Linked DNA regions of Oryzias latipes. The protein of the gene in region 3 purifies or fractionates together with the protein of the main gene of each other region. This does not show direct contact. Links are inferred from orthologs where the notes say so. Each region holds a gene or a part of one and is shown on either strand. Other genes may lie near its edges. The genes, in order: cdk20, rfx3, foxj1 and tbc1d32.

What was found.
Region 1: the proteins of foxj1 (region 3) and cdk20 purify together in Homo sapiens (affinity purification with mass spectrometry; 3 studies listed by BioGRID and IntAct, counting the BioPlex papers as one, with this or other methods). This does not show direct contact. The link is inferred for Oryzias latipes from reciprocal best matches to the Homo sapiens genes FOXJ1 and CDK20.
Region 2: the proteins of foxj1 (region 3) and rfx3 purify together in Homo sapiens (affinity purification with mass spectrometry; 3 studies listed by BioGRID and IntAct, counting the BioPlex papers as one, with this or other methods). This does not show direct contact. The link is inferred for Oryzias latipes from reciprocal best matches to the Homo sapiens genes FOXJ1 and RFX3.
Region 4: the proteins of foxj1 (region 3) and tbc1d32 purify together in Homo sapiens (affinity purification with mass spectrometry; 3 studies listed by BioGRID and IntAct, counting the BioPlex papers as one, with this or other methods). This does not show direct contact. The link is inferred for Oryzias latipes from reciprocal best matches to the Homo sapiens genes FOXJ1 and TBC1D32.

What each region holds. Positions count from the first base shown.
Region 1 is NC_019865.2:33,767,754-33,771,853, reverse strand, and holds the start of cdk20 (cyclin-dependent kinase 20), read right to left. Parts: upstream 2,829-4,100; 5' UTR 2,447-2,828; coding exon 2,366-2,446; intron 2,284-2,365; coding exon 2,170-2,283; intron 1-2,169. Other genes in the region: protein UXT, read left to right, coding at 3,234-3,331. UniProt on the Homo sapiens protein: Required for high-level Shh responses in the developing neural tube.
Region 2 is NC_019870.2:13,046,847-13,050,947, reverse strand, and holds the start of rfx3 (transcription factor RFX3), read left to right. Parts: upstream 1-1,250; 5' UTR 1,251-1,560; intron 1,561-4,101. UniProt on the Homo sapiens protein: Transcription factor required for ciliogenesis and islet cell differentiation during endocrine pancreas development. Essential for the differentiation of nodal monocilia and left-right asymmetry specification during embryogenesis.
Region 3 is NC_019866.2:2,710,992-2,715,197, reverse strand, and holds the start of foxj1 (forkhead box protein J1), read right to left. Parts: upstream 2,848-4,206; 5' UTR 2,416-2,847; intron 1,910-2,415; 5' UTR 1,882-1,909; coding exon 1,294-1,881; intron 852-1,293; coding exon 15-851; 3' UTR 1-14. UniProt on the Homo sapiens protein: Transcription factor specifically required for the formation of motile cilia. Acts by activating transcription of genes that mediate assembly of motile cilia, such as CFAP157.
Region 4 is NC_019882.2:17,649,846-17,653,408, reverse strand, and holds part of tbc1d32 (protein broad-minded), read right to left. Parts: intron 3,264-3,563; coding exon 3,086-3,263; intron 3,001-3,085; coding exon 2,929-3,000; intron 1,849-2,928; coding exon 1,729-1,848; intron 1,632-1,728; coding exon 1,553-1,631; intron 279-1,552; coding exon 175-278; intron 102-174; coding exon 40-101; intron 1-39.

The DNA.
Region 1 (4,100 bases), on a different chromosome or scaffold from region 3:
CAAGTCAACACCAAAGTCCAGCTGACTAAAGGGTATTCCCTTCTCAGACCAATGACAAGCCTGGACAGCCTCCGTCAGGTCCCTGAGTCTGTCACCTTCATGGTCTCAGTCAGGTCTGTGGTCTCAGGTTGCCGAACACACGCATGTTGTTTGCACATCTTCACTTCACCACTGAAGAACTTGGTTTCCGCGTGTTAATATATGTGTTGATGTGCTTACTGGGATAGCTTATACTGTGATTTAGATTCAGAACAAGGTACAGTAGACGTAGCAGACTTTTGTGAGCCAACGGCGGCTTTCTCATGATTTGGATCGATATCACAGCTTCGTGAAAGGTACAAGATAAAATAGGTCCCCAAAACCACCGACTAAACATTGAGGAAACTTGATGAAATGCGCGACATTCGTCGTTGCAGACCCGAACCCCACACGTCACATTGTGACAAACAATTCCAGTCTCAGTTGGGTCCATGTTCTCTGTGAGGTCATTGGTCCTTGTTCCAAGTAAGTTTGTTGGTTTCTAGCCTCAGCATGGTCTATTGGGTCATTGATGTCCGTTAGGTCCAAGTCTTTATCAGATACTTTTTTTTGTCAGGTCATTGGTCTCTATCAGTTCCCTGCTCTCTGCCAGATCAGTGCTTTTTGTCGTGTCCCAGTCTCTAGCAGATCCTTAGTCTCTGTCAAATCCTGTTTTGTTCTTTTCTCTGATGCTGTTCTGCTGTATAGAACAATTCAGTACTGTACAGTTGTGGCCAAAAGTTTTGAGAATGACAGAAATATTAGTTCTCACAAAGTTTGCTGCAACACTGCTTTAGATCTTTGTTTCAGTTTTTTTGCTGCTTAAGTTTTTATAATAGAAATTTGCATATAATCAAGAATGTTATGAGTGATTAGATGAATTGCATAGTCCTTCTTTGCCATGAAAATTAACATCATCCCAAAAAAACCTCCCACATTCTCAAAACCTTTGGCCATGACTGTACAGTCAGTTGGAGAATGACTCAAATCGTAGTTTTCACAGAGTTAGCTGCTAACCTGCATTTAGATCTTTGTTTCAGTTTTCTCTGTAATATAACTGAAATAGAATTACAAGCACTTCATACGCTTCAAAGGCTTTTATCAACAATGACATCAGTATTTGCAGTGTTGGCCCTTCTTTTTCAGAACCTCTGCAGTTCCAGTGGACATGCTCTCTATCAACTTCCTGACTGATAGTAACCCATTCTTTCAGAATCACTTCTTGGAGTTTGTCAGAATTAGTGGGTTTTTGTTTGTCCAACCGCCTCTTGAGGATTGACCAAAAGATCTGAGGAGTTTCCAGGCCATGGACCCACAATTTCAACGTTTTGGTCCCAGAGCCACTTAGTTATCACTTTAGCCTTATGGCCCGGTGCTCCATGGTTCTGGAAAATGCATGTTTGTCACCAAAATGTTGTTGGAAGAAGTTATTGTTGGAGGGTGTTTTGGTACTATTCTTTATTCATGGCTGTGTTTTGGGCTGAATTGTGAGTGAGCCCCCTCCCCTGGATGGGAAACAACCCCACACATGAATGGTCTCAGGATGCTTTACTGTTGGCGTCACACAGGACTGATGGTAGCGCTCACCTTTTCTGCAGATTCCCCAAGCAATCAGAAATGTTTTTGGAGAGAAGTGGCGTCTCTCCAAAAATGTTCTTTATGATCCTATAAATTGTTGATTTAGATGCAATCTTAGTTGCCACAATACCCTCCCCTTTGAATCAATTTTTATGCAATACAGTGATGGCTGCACACGTTTCTTTGCAGGTTACCATGGTTACCAATGGAAGATTAATGATTCCAGGCATCACCCTCCTTTTAACATGTCAAGTCTGCCATTCTAACCCCATCAGCCTGACAGAATGATCTCCAGCCTGGTGCTCGTCAACATTGTCACCTGAGTTAACAAGACGATGAATGAAATGATCTCAGCTGGTTCTTTAATGACACCAATGAAATGCCGTGGAAAGAGTTTTGGGGGATTAAGTTCATTTTTATGGCAAAGAAGGACTATGCAATTCATCTGATCATCATAACATTATGGAGTATATGCAAAATGCTATTATATGTATTTAAGCAGCAATTATTTTCCAATTTCCAACAATATTTACGTCATTCTCCAAACCTTTGACCACGACTGTACACACTCACGTGCTGGTTGTCCTCAATCTCCTGCAGAGCCTTGATCTCCCTCAGAGCCTGATTGGGAATGCCGTCCTCCAGCTTCCTCAGAGCCACCTTCTTTAGAGCCACAGTTTCCCCGGTCTGTCAGAAACACGTTCATCCATCAGCCTGAATGATCACCTGTTCAGGTGTCTGTTTTTTCTGCTCCATGAACATGTTTCACCTGCACGTGCTTGGCCTTAAACACGATTCCGTGAGCCCCTTCTCCAATCCGGCCTAGGATGCTGTACTGCTCCATGATCATCCAGGACCCCTGCAGCTGCAGCGGGGATCTTTATGGACTTGGACTTGTTCCTTTACTTAACGGTTTTTAGTCCACGGGTTTTAAGAGCGGGGCTCCGGCGCGTCCAACCAAAATAAGCACGACATTTTGAACGGAACGAGACCGGAAGTGGGCGCTGATGTTGCCTCGGTCACATCTGATAAATAAAACTACGAAACTTTAGTATATCGTTGAATATTTAGTATAGTGCTGGATATTTACTTGATGCGTAAAGCTGATGACATGTACGCGACACCAAATGTGCGCTGTCCTTTGGCACTTGACGAGATATTTTGAAAACGTTTCAACTATAGTCAACGCAGCTCTCCGCCATGTTTGTTGACAGTGACGTCATCACAGGACAATCCAAATCAACGAAAATAAAACAACGAAGAAGAATAAATAAAATTAGCACAACCAGCCATTAAACAAAAACATATATATTTTAAAATTCATATTCACATAAGGTTTAACCCGGGAATTAGTTTATGAATAATTGCCACGTTCTATATATCTGGTAGAATATGGAAGAATAAATGTAAGTGAAAATGACCAAATAACAACTGTTTGCACAAAGTGCTTTAAACATAAAAAGAAATTAAATGTTCTTTTTTCTGCTCCTCTTCTACGCTGAAACCTGGAAGTATCTTGTCGGAGTACTTCCGGTTCAGAATCTTGTTTAGATGACTGCATGTGGGGCTGTGAACTTCTTTACAAGTGTCTGAGCTGAACCGGCCCGCAGAGCCCCCGCATTAGCCCCCCATCCCCGATGACTCCGCCCACAGACGCCGGTTCTGACTCGAGGATGGAAGAGAAGGTCCTTCAGTATGAAAGATTCATCGAGGAAGTTCTGAGGAGAGACCTGCGGTAAGCCCCTCTGGGTTCTGCTCCGGTTCTGAAAGTCCCCCTCTGATGAAAATCATGTTTTGTGACATTGTGGTATTTGTCTTATGAAATACAACAAATGGAATTAGACATGGTTTCATTTTTGCATTTCTGAGTGTTTCTCCTTTTAAACCGCTGTCAATCAAACTGTCTCAAAGACGCTCTGTTTGAACTAATGCGGTGTTGTGACGTCACAAAGGCCCAGGGGAGTATTCCAGAAAGCAGGTTATGCACCCACTATTGGAGAAAAATTGCCCCAGATATTGAATGGAAGAAAGTTTGGACTTTGTCCTCTAAATATTTTATTTCAAATAAACCCCGGGATGTTTGTTTTAAACTTCTTCACAGATGCTACCCAGCCAAATCCTCATTACACATAGACATTGATAAAAATTGCTCCTTTTGTAAATTAGACACTGAAACAATTATACATCTTTTCTGGAAATGCCCCCCAACAGCAATTTTTTGGAAAGACCTTACCTCCTTTGTTCGATGTTAAATTTATGAAAAATTTGATTTGGTATACAAGGATATATTATTTGGTTTTTATAGTGTTAATAATTCACTAAGAAGGGAATACTATTTAATTAACCTTTTGATAATACTAGCCAAATTCCACATACATAAATGCAAATTTTCTGAAAAAAAGCCCTTATTCAAACTTTTTATGATTGAGTTGAACCAATATATCAAAGCAATAAAACATTCTTCCAACCCCAAAGCTATAAGAACCTTTGACACCCTGGAATTT
Region 2 (4,101 bases), on a different chromosome or scaffold from region 3:
TCTTCCTCTCAGGTTCAGCAATAATCTGAATTTTCCTGGTGTAAATAGAACAGAGTTTTAGTGGTTGTACTGGGTTTTTTTTTTTAATTTATCAACAAGAAAAGCACAAAGTTTGTATAGAAAATGAGTGTGACTACAATAAGGACAATAATATAAGTTTGAAAGCACTTTATTATTAGATTATGATATAAAGATGTTAATGGTTTTTAACATTTAAGACACCAAATAATCCTAAATTATAGTGTTCCTTAACTGTGTCTTTCTCCTCTGAAACTAGAAGAACAAACAATTTTACTTGAAACATCTTTTTTTTATAAGAGTGTTGTGCTTCAGATGGAGGTTTTGCTAGTTGCCTAGCAACGGGAATAACAGCTTTACCAAAAAAGCGTCTGTTTAGTAACTGGCAGTTACTAACTGCTAATCAAATACAAATAAAAAGAAAGGCGGTGTGTTGGATACAGGTGGTTTGTTAGGCTTTGTGTCCAGCAGAAGCCAATGCCTGCTTTGTTTTAACATTGTTCTTCCTTTAAAAAACCTGGTTTGATGAAATAGTTTCACCTTTTGCACCCGAGTTTAGTTCAAAAGAAGGACACCATTTGTCTGCAAGTGCTGAAAATAATATTTAAATGATAAATATAGTAACATACATACAAATAAATTGAGTACATTAAATTATTGAATGCATTAATATTTGTCAAAAGAACATCGATAATTAAGCAAATAATAATAATAATAATAATAATAAAGTTATTAATCAACAACATGAGCATAATAGGGGTGGGATTATAAAATTTGACTTCCGCACATTCCTTTCTAAGCAAATAATTTAATTCATTTTGAGAAACTTCACATTAAATGGATTTGATGGGTTATGTATTGTATAGGTACAATCATGTCTATTTATGATTAAGAGTAATTATAAGGACATCATTTACAAGTGGATGTACATAGATTTGTATGTTCTTTTACTTTTATTTCCCAAACCTATATATATATATATATATATATATAAATTCCAACTGAGTGCATGAAAATATATAATTTCTCACCTTTAAATTAAATATGATACAGAAGTATACACGATTTATCAATTGCAATGCAATTTTTGATAAATATACTGCAGTGTAAAACAACCACAACATTGTAATAACATGGAAAACAAAGTAATGGCTAAATACATTTTATTTATTTTTGTATTATTTAAGTCAAGACTTCGAAGTAATTTGATTGAGAGAGAAAAATATCGGGGAATTTATCTGTACATGCCCCCCGAAAAAAGGAAAGAAAAGAAAGACAAAAGCCGAAAGAGAAGCAGTCCAATCAATTCATCGATGGTTGAAATCGTTTTATTCCTTTTTGATTTTTGCCGTAGGTATCGCCGCGCGCTCCTCCCACCTAAGGTTGCGCGCTGCCGGTGAGTTTTATAGCAACTGTTGCCCGGTGAGGCAGCGCCATAGTCACCGTAGTCCTGGCGACTGTAACCCACCAACAACAACCTCTCGCTCCATCATTACCACCTCCTCCATCATCCTCATCTTCATCAACCAGTCCACGGCTCAGGTTTGATTTAAATCCTTGACTATTTTTAGCATAAATGTAAGATGCTCCTCGGCGTCACAGGATATGAATTTTATCAGGGGGGGTTTGATGCTGTTGGTTTGCGTTTTGTCTGCTGTTGGATGAAGGCTCGCTGGGTAGCTGTGGTAGTTTTGCTAGCGAGGGTGTTTCTTTGTAACGTGTTAGCCTGCGTGCTAACGTTGCCTGTGGATACTAACTGAGGCGAGGCGTCCTGGTCGCCAACAGAAACCGGCTGTGTAGCCTTTTACAAAGCTTTACGGACCGGCCCGACTCCATTTTGTTCTAAAAAACGAGCTTTTATTCGCAGAGAATTGGTCTGAAGTTGCCATGCTGAGTGGTCGCAAAGGCTAGCCAGTGATGCTAACTGGTCAGCTGGAGCAGGTGTCTGTTGTTGCTAGGTTGCTAACGCCAGCGATGTCTGTTGCTGTCCCATTTTCGGGTAAATGTTACGGTCGGGTTGTGTGTTTCCGCGTCGGGTGATTCAGCGTTTTTTGCCGCTAAGAAATCTGTTCGTCGATTAGCAAAGGAAAGTGGTGTGTGCTCGCTGGGCTTTCACTCTCTAATAGGTTCACAATAGCTGAGCCTTTACTTTCCCTTTTGTCTTAGGGAGCAAGATCGCGGCGTTAGCTCTCCATCTGTGCTCTTTGTGGGATCAACTGGTAATAATGATAAGAACGCGATAACATCAGTTCTGTAGGGATCAGTTACTACACAATCAGATTTATATTAATGTATTTCAATATTTGAGGTAATACAGGATGTTCTAAATACTAGCTCTGTGCTTTTTTTCACAATATTTACTCAAAAAAATGTATTGGTTAATAAAAAAGAAAAAGTTGTTTTATTTTCAGAAAAAATGTTGGTTTTTTTCAGTGTGTTTATTCATATTTTCTAACTATAATTAAACACACCAATTTGCTGTTTCAATTTCTGCCATTAAACAGAATAAAAACTAAAAACTGGGGAGACCCCATGATCCTCCAGTCGTTTTTTTTTTCCATGTTAAGTTTCTAAGTGTTGCATCACATTTACTCCTGGGTCCACTTGGTCTCCCGCTCCCCTGCAGCCTCTCCTTCCCATTAGGAGAGGGAACAGGTGTGCATGGGTTTGTGTATCTTTGTCTGTGTGTGTGAGTTGCAATAAAAAAAAAACACACAAGGGTGAATTCTGGTTGTGACAGAGGTAGTAGCAGTGCTACTTCGTCACCTGTCTTAAGACCATCTGTAAAAAGTTTTTTCTTTTCTTTCCATCCTTAAGTTTTTTGTTTAAGCCAATTATTTATTCAGCTGTTGTAGTTTTGTTGGTGTGTTTGACCTGTTGCATAAGGCAGTTTAACAGCTTTAGCTACTGATAAAGGATGTTTTGTTAAACGATTATATTTTGGCACAAGGAAAAATTTATAAATGACTCATTGGCTGCAAGATCTAAACTCCAAACACACCTAAATTATCATCCTACCACCACCGTGCCAAGAGATGACTTTCAGTGCTTTCCTTGATTCGCTACATTGAGTTTTTAGCTAAAACCAGTGCTGGCCAATCGTCATTATTAACTTGCTTTCCTTTGTGTTCATTTTTGATGCACTGTGCTCAGCAGGTGGAAATTCGTACAGATTGAAAAAAATTGTAATGCTAGATTTATATACTCTCAATGTTCTTGTGACAACCAAACAATTATTTTATTGCAAAAATCTTCTTTACGCAAAAAAAACAAAACTATTTTCTCTTTTTAGATCTGGTTTACTTCATTGAGTGAGTAATAGTCATACTCATACTGTCAAAATATAGAGTTCAATCAAAATGAGTCAGTCCCCTGTTGCAAATTAGGTATATTAAATGTCAGCTGCAGCAACAAACAAATTAAAATTAGAACAATTGTGTAACAGCTGCAGCAGTCTTTAAATAATTTAAGTCCTTGCATAGAACTGCGGCTGTAGAGTTCAGATTAAAAAAGCCAAATCCATATTGCGATTTGTCTGTGCGTGTGTGTGTGTGTACCGTAAATGTGCAAAGGCTATGCATTATATTAAATCTAAGGTTGCAGCAAACGAAAATAAAAGAACGTAGGAAATAAAATGGATTTAATTGAAAAACATAAATGTAATTAAAGCGAGTTGAATGACTGAAAATAGTTTGGCACAACACAGATGCAAATCTGTGCACAGGCAATCACAGCTGGTTTGCTTGTTATACAATACAGCAAACCCCTGCTGGAGAGGAGTCCTAGTATTTCATCGCCTGACAGATGGATGTGTGTCAAGAGAACAGTTCAAAAGTTAAGAGATGGGGTTTAGCAAACCATACAGTTGGAAACTGTTGCCATGAAATGAAACTAGCTTTCAGGGGCCGTAGATTAGACGGCTCTGGGATGTTTTGACATTTCTAACAATAGAAATTTGCACGATTCGTTCAAATAACAGGAAAGGCTGGGAGACGATCCTAAACGAAATCCACCAATGTTTGGGTTCTGAGGAGGTTTTTTAAGATTTGAAAGGTGGAGTCGCACTTGTCTCCCTGATAAACC
Region 3 (4,206 bases):
GCTGCAGTTATTCCTCAGAGGAGGGGGTCCATCTGGCCGCTGGGATCTCCATGTAAAGAGTCTCCCAGGTCGAACAGCTGATCCAGATTGGAGTTACAGAGGAAGTTGGCCTGACTTTGCTCCTCCTCTTCTTCTCCTGGCCAGGGAGTCTCCAGGAAGGCTGTGGCGAGAAGGGTCTCCTCGTCAAAGTCAGGCACATTACTCCTTTGATCGGCCGTCGTTCCTGCCGGAGCTTCGCCGGCTGCAACCTGGCCCCCCCTCGCTGTCAGGGCCTCTTCTTTCAGGATGGGGCTCAGAGGCCCCTCTTCATCCAGGCTGAGCTCCCCGCTGAGCGCTGAGTCCAGCAGGGCATCCCAGTCGAAGTCGCCCTCCAGAGGTCCCACCTGCTTCTGCTCCTCCCCACAGAGGAGGGGGGAGCTGGAGCCCCGGAACCCTCTGGTGCCGCCATTCCTGGATCCAAACGGATTTTTCCTCTTTTTCCCTCTTCTTCCCCTCACCACCGGCCAGGCCCCCAGCATCGTCCCCTCGGCCAGACGGGGGTTCCAGCTCTGGTCGGCACCGGTCACCTCCTCCAACCCCTGCATGAGGCTCGGGGCATGTGGGTTGAAGTCCAGGCCGTCCGCCAGGGGGCAGGGGGTGCTGGAGCGTGGCTGCAGGTGGATGTGGAGTCTGCTCTGCAGGGCGGGGTTGATCTGGACCGGGGGCATCCGCCTCTTCTTGTGGGAACCGCTGAGGAGGTGTTCGGCGTACTGCGGGTCGATCTTCCAGAAGCCCCCTTTGCCCGGCTCGTCCTTCTGCCGGGGGACTTTGATGAAGCACTTGTTGAGCGACAGGTTGTGTCGGATGGAGTTCTGAAACACACAAGATGTTCTGAGTGAGAGTCCCCCTCTGAACCTGTCTGCCTGCATCCTATTAGCATCTCTGTGCCCCCCCCCCCCATCCTGCTGGCCCTCCTCCCTGAAGTCCAAACAGAGCCGTGAGCTGCCGACCTCTGTTAAATATTATCTGCCCCGTGTTCAGACTTACAATAACAAAATGCTCTTAAGTGTCTGAGTCCCACAGAACAGCTAACGGCTTCATCAATCATTTATCCAAGAAAATTAAACTTTTCTGGAACATTCCTGACGGGAATTCTTCTCCTCCAAACTCCAAATAATCAAACCAAAAACAAAATAGTGTGATATAGCCTAACACCTGCAGGCTCACTCTGCCTCAAGTCTCGCGCACAGACTCAATGTCACACCATCTGAGGGGCGCGCGCGTTTCCTGCTGTGCATGCACGTGCCGGTGTACCTGCCAGGTGGGGTCCGCGTGGCGGTAGTAGCAGAAGTTGTCTGTGATCCACTTGTAGATGCAGGACAGCGTGATCTTGCTCTTCTTGCTGGCCTGCATCGCCATGCAGATCAGGGTGGCGTAGGAGAACGGCGGCTTGACGCGCGCGTTGTTCCGGTAATCCGCGCCGTCCGGCGTCAGTCCGCGCGCCACGACGCCGGGCTGGATCCTGCTGTAGGACGCGGCCGTGGGCTTCCCCGGGGTCAGGGGCATCCCCATGGACGCGGGGTCCCCGGCCAGGGGGGAAGCGGGCGCGTCCAACCCCAGCTGCTGTCCGAAAAAGTGGGGCTGCTGGTGCGCGTGCTGCGGAACGTTGGCGCCGAGGATGGAGAAGTCCTGCAGCCACTGCAGGCTGGTCAGGCTGTCATCCAGGTTGTCGGAGCCGCACCAGCTGCTGCTGCTGCTGCTGCTGCTGCTGCTGCTGCTGCTGCTGCTGCTGCAGCTCCCGGCGGCGTCCCGCTCCTCCGCCTGCGCCGCGGCGGTCACCACCTCCTCCTCCAGCACCACCGAGCCTTCGGGCCAGGGGTCCGCGCAGCTGAGTGACAGCATCGCTCTATCCTTCCCCCCCTGCCACCGCCTGACAAGACCAACATTAACATCAGCTCCAGCACGGCGCAGATGAGAAAACAGAAGCAGTTTGGGCAAAAACACTGCGGTTCTTTTTTAAATGTTCCCGAATAAAGCAGGAAATTTGAGCTAAAACCGCATTAAACTTTAATGGTTCTTTTTCTTTAACACCAGAACTTTCCTGTGGACCTCATGCGTAATGACGCAGAACGGCCTCCTCTCCGAACTCTTAATGATCACGAGGCGTAAAAGACGTTTAAAAAAACCTTTAAAATTGTTAACAGTGATAAATGTTATATTAAAAATATTATATATAGAGAGAGTATATTTTCTTTCATATTGTAGAAACTGTTGTGCCTAAAATCCATGTTTGTGTGTTTAGACAGTGAGGTTAATATTGCAAACGAAATAAAACCGTTGGATCGTGTTCAAGGAACCGATTTTAAATAAATGTAATTAGTCAGCTGGAGTTGTCCCTTCTGATCACTTTTGGATCATTCTAACAGTCACACTCACCTCGGAACTGCTGTTTTCTCTCAAAAACCTTTAAATTCTAAACCGGCTGCGCTCGGCGATCCTCGGTCTGCGCACCGCGCATCTGCCGCCTGCACGCGCGTCCTCGACCGAGAACAGGATCCGTGCTCTCCTGCGCTGCTCGTCCTCCTCTCCGCGCGGGTGTCAGCGGGCTCCGCCGGGGGGGGGACAGTTTAATACCTGGTGCAGGAGGTTTGTCCGGGAGCCATAGAAACGATACACTCCCCCTGTAAACAGCTTCAAGCGCCCCCATTGGCCGGCTGGTTGCCATGGAGCTTCATTTTTAATCACCCTAAAGTCAGCCGAGGCTGGAGGTCCTCAGAGTGAGGCCCGGGGCCCCGCGGGGCCATCCTAGAGGATCTACACTTCTTCTTTTTTAATGTTATTTTATTTTTTAATAAAAGATGGAGAGTAAAATAAAAAAATTAAAATAAAATAAATATTGGAAAATTAATTGGAAAGATGGTTTTCTATTAAAATCCTTGAATTTTCTCTTTTTAAATTAGTAAAACTGTTCAGTTTAATTTATCGCAGTAGAACTTTTTTGTCTTAATTTCGTCACTTCTGACGCCTCCAACAGGTTTTTTACCAAATTATTATCTTTTTAACCGCATGGATTTTTTTTACTAGATGACAAACTATTAAAGGTCATTTTTGTTCTTCTCATTTTCTGTCTTTCAGAGAAGCCCGGCCCCTGCAGGAGGAAGACAAAGCTAAATAACAATAAAACAAAAGTTGAACAGTTCCTGATGGCGCTAAAAGACAAAGATGACTTTCCTCGCTGCAGGTTCTGTCCAGCTCTGGCCTGGAGGTTTTAACGAGCCTCTCCGTTGGATGTTTCAGGAGGAGGCGAGTGCGAAGGAATGCACTTTTGTTCATAAGACAGAAAAGGCAGAGAAAGGCCAAACAAAAAAGGTTTGGCTCATCTAACGTTCTATTAGTGTGGCTGAGTGGTTTCCTGAGGCTCCTCACAAAGCCACTGTAAAGCAATAAAAGGCCTCCTGCTCCCTGTGGGCCTGACGAGGAGCGCCGTGTGCTGCTGACAGCTGTGGACACAGCCTGATGATGCCCACGGCTGCTCCTCACTCAGCCTCCTCCTCCAAAATAAAAGAATCAACTCAAACAAATATCAAACCTTTACTTTCTAAATGACAGAAGATATGCTTCCTGAATGAAGAAAAATAGGAGAACTTAAGGCCGAAATCATTCTACGAATAAATGACCTCGGAAAGTAAAGTCCGGTGTTTCTAAAGACAGAATAACAGGAGAAAGAGAGTGAAAAAAGATGAAAAAGTCTGTCTGCCGTCTGCCATCAAAGTCTGAGGAATCATCTTAAATCTTTCTTCTGAGGATGTTTGACCCACCAATGCCGAGAGAGATGAGATGATGACACTGTGGTAAAAAAAAAAGCGCAGAGAAAGATTCCAAAATGTTTCAGGAAAATGGGTTTGTTAGCAGATGTTGTTGATGAACACAAGAGGGCGCCAAAGTTCACCAAACATCTGGACTCTCCTCCTCTTCAGCTTTCTCCTCTGTTCTTCCAAGAAAGAAAAGATTGTTTGGAGGAGAAACTCACCTGTTGTTGCTTCTGCTAAAGCGGACCTGCTTTAGAACTTCACCTTCAGCGTTTTGACCCAAAGTCATTAAAATATTAGATGGTTGGGGTGTAATGATTAATGGACGTGGTCAGTTTATCCAACCAGATTGATCTGTCTTAGGCAAGATGTTGATCAAATCCACTCATGCATCATAAAATTGTTTTTAGTGGAAAAC
Region 4 (3,563 bases), on a different chromosome or scaffold from region 3:
AACAAAGCCTCTGTGCTGAAATCCTTGACATGAACTCACTTCTCAGGGTGACGAATCCAGAAGGAAGCCACCTCCTTCTGGAAGTCATTAATCAATCGCATCTGAAATGCACAAAGCAAAATAATTAGAAAAACTCTTCTGAAACGACCTTTAGTTGAGCTGAAAAGAAAGTACCTGCTTGAGAAGGCGGGTTATCTTAGGAGTGTTGATGTCGAGGGTTGCTGAGCCGCTTGGGAAGTTCAGCTTGTGAGACACAAAACTGGATTCTACATTTTTAGCTGTTAAGAAAAAAGCATATCGACACCAATTAATGTCATGAAACTGATAAATTCTTTAACTTATTTGTAAAATAAATGATTTTCAGTTTTTTCCACAAAGTAGTTTAAAAAAATCTACCAAAGGAACGAGGATATAAAGCAGAATTTAACAGATCGTCTTTCTTCAACTTTTAGTTGTTATTTTTTATTTTATTTTATATACAGCTTGTGTCTGTAAAATTGCTCTCTCCCATTGACCGTGCTTCTCCCCCTATCTCTAAGGCAGCGCCCAGCCACCCTAAGGGTGTTCTCTGGCTCAGCTCTCTTGACCATAATGGGCCGGTACGGCGACTGCATAACGGCAGATGCCGCACCAATCTGCCTGTCAATCTCACGCTCCAATCTTCCCTCACTTGGGTTCAAGACCCCAATATACTCCTCCACCTGGGGAAGGGACACTGCGCCCATTTAGACAGGACAACATCATCTGCAAAGAGGAGAAAGGAAATCCTGTGGTCCCCAAACCGGACCTCCTCCGGCCCCTGGTTGTGCCTAAAAATTCTGTGCTCAAAGGGCAGCACTGCCAGAGTCCAACATGCAACGGTAACGGGTCCAACTTACTGCCGGCTATGCAAACCACTGGACAGCCCTCAGTAAGGCTCCACGGATCCCATCCTCCACAGGAAACCACAGGGGACCCGGTTGAACACCTTCTTCAAATCCACAAACACATATGGACTGGATAAGTGAACTCCCACAAACCCTCCAGCACTCTAAAAAGGGTTAGGGCCGGTCCACTGTTCCACAACCAGGACAGAAACCGGACTGTTGTTCCTGGATCTGAGGTTCAACTATCGGATGGACTCTCCTCTCAGGGTACCCTGGCATAGACTTTCCATTGTGATTCCCCGGGAGCTGGAACACCCCCCCATTGAAAAGGGGGTCGCTGAGACACCTGCCTTCAACTGCCACACAAACCACATTGGACAGGCCCCTACAGGTGTTTGGCCCACATGACTGTAATCCCCAGTCCTGGCTCTGGAGTGGGGCTTCAGTGAAGCCAATCCTGGCGACATAGCAAAATCTTTGTTTGTACTTCTCATCAAGCGGGTTCTGAACAGCTCTTTGTCTGGCTCGTCACCCAGGACCTGTCTGTCTGCAAAATCTCTAGACAGTTTAGCTCCTGGGATGACTAAAGCTCTTCAACCCCTCCACCACATTAAGGTGGCGGTTCAATGATGAAGAAAATACATTTTGTTAAAAAAAACAGTCATATCTCTATTTACATTTCCTACCTAAACTGGCGAACATCTCTCTGGTGACATTGAGTGGAGAGCAGGAGAAGCTTTTAGCAAAAAACTGCAACGCCTCTTCCTGACAGGGACAGGAGAAAAAGAGACCTTTATTCCTGCAGTGGCGGAAGGAAATGTGGGTGTGTGGGACAGCGGGGGGACATGAGGTTAGGACTCACACTGAGCTCGGCCTCGTTCAGAGCCAAAGAGAGGTTCCTGCGCAGGGTACTCCAGCTCTCGCAGCTCAACAGATCAGGCAGAGACGCACGGCAGAGGACGTGCAACGCCTCCCGACGCATCTACACACACATTCAAACAGATCCCAGCTTGAATGAATTTTAAGATGATCGGGGGCGATGGGTGTGGCCGAAATCTCCAAAATGTGACTGTCTAAACCTGGTTTAAGAGATCTACTCTTTGTAGGGGTGTAACCATGAATCGATTTATTTTCCTATGATCCAACCAGATCAATCTGTCTGAGGCAAGCTGTCAATCAAATTGACCTAAACCAGGGGTGTCAAAGAGGGCCGGATTTAGTGAAGTGAAACTGTATGTGGGCTAGGGCTGCACGATATGAAGAAAACCCGCGATATGCGATATTAGAAATTAATATTGCGATAACGATATAATTTGCGGTATATAAACAATTAGCAAAACAACCAAAAATATTATTCCCATTCCATTACAACAGCTTAAAAATTATACTACAAATGACCCTTGTTGACATAGGAGGCGAACATACAACATAATAGAGCGCCATCCGATTAGTTAACAACGTGAAGGGGTCCATCTGATTGGTCAAATGCAGAAAGGGATTCTTTCAATCCATTAAACACTTCAAGCTGCCATAAGACTGTTTGGCCACATCTAAGGTAACCATTTATTGCAAATTTGCTGTCTTTTGCGATATGCATATTGCACAGCTTGATATTGCGATAAAGATAAATTTGCGGTATATTGTTCAGGCCTACTGGGGGCCAACCCTTTGGCCTGCATTCTTGAACTTTTTAATAAGGTTAAGTGCAAATGAACAGTTTAATGAACATTGCTGGGCAGCACATATGCATATTTAAAATGATCATAGCTTGGTAAATATTCTGCCAAGAGCTCTGAAAATTAATGCATGAAGTTATTATTGTTTCTTGAAGGTGGATAAATGAAAGCACAGAGAACAGGTTCCACTAAAAAGAATTTAAATAACTGCAGCTCAAAAGAGGAGTATGTGTTTGTGGAAAGAAGGCAAAAACTTCAGTTAAAAAACAGAATCTGAATCTGTATTGTGTAGCTCTGAGTTCTGACAGGCTGAGCACAGCTAAAACATACATAGAACAGATGGGAAACAACCATGGTGGTGAATGTGAAAGCCTCAGGTTGGGTACCTCTTTGGGCTTGCCGGGCTCAAGTCTTTCAGCTAGAAGCTGGAGCTCCTCCTGCGTGATGAAGGTGTAGCTCTGGAAAAGATCAAGAGGAGAGTCTCAGAGAGAGAAAACAACCCCATTCCAGAATCAAACCCCCCTCGTGTCTTGTTCCTCTGACCTGGTTGAAGGAGGAGTCGCTGTCGGAGCAGCTGTCTGTGAAGTGGCTGCTGTGCTGGCTGTGCTCCCTCTCTCTGTGCGTCTCCTCTTTTCTCAGCTGGCTCTCCTTGTATTTGTTGGTTAAACACTCCACAACAGAGCTCAGTGAGGTTTTCAAGGTCTGCATCATCTGCTGATACCTGGTTCAAGAAGAAAAAAACGGATTATCTGAAAGTCCACCATAGCTTTTCTTGAAATTCTGTTGATGAACTTTTATTCTTTTTAAATACCGGTATGTCTATTTCTAATGCAGCCTGAGTCCTTTTATGTTGTCTTGTTCAGCAAACAATAACTGTAAAGTAAACTCCTTCTTAAGATGACAGAAGAACATAAAACATAAAAAAGAACATTTAAATTTTATATAATCACAGTCAGACAGACTTGGTTTTAGCACGATCCATTTTAAGTAATTTTTTTGTTTAATTTCTGCAAAACAAGGA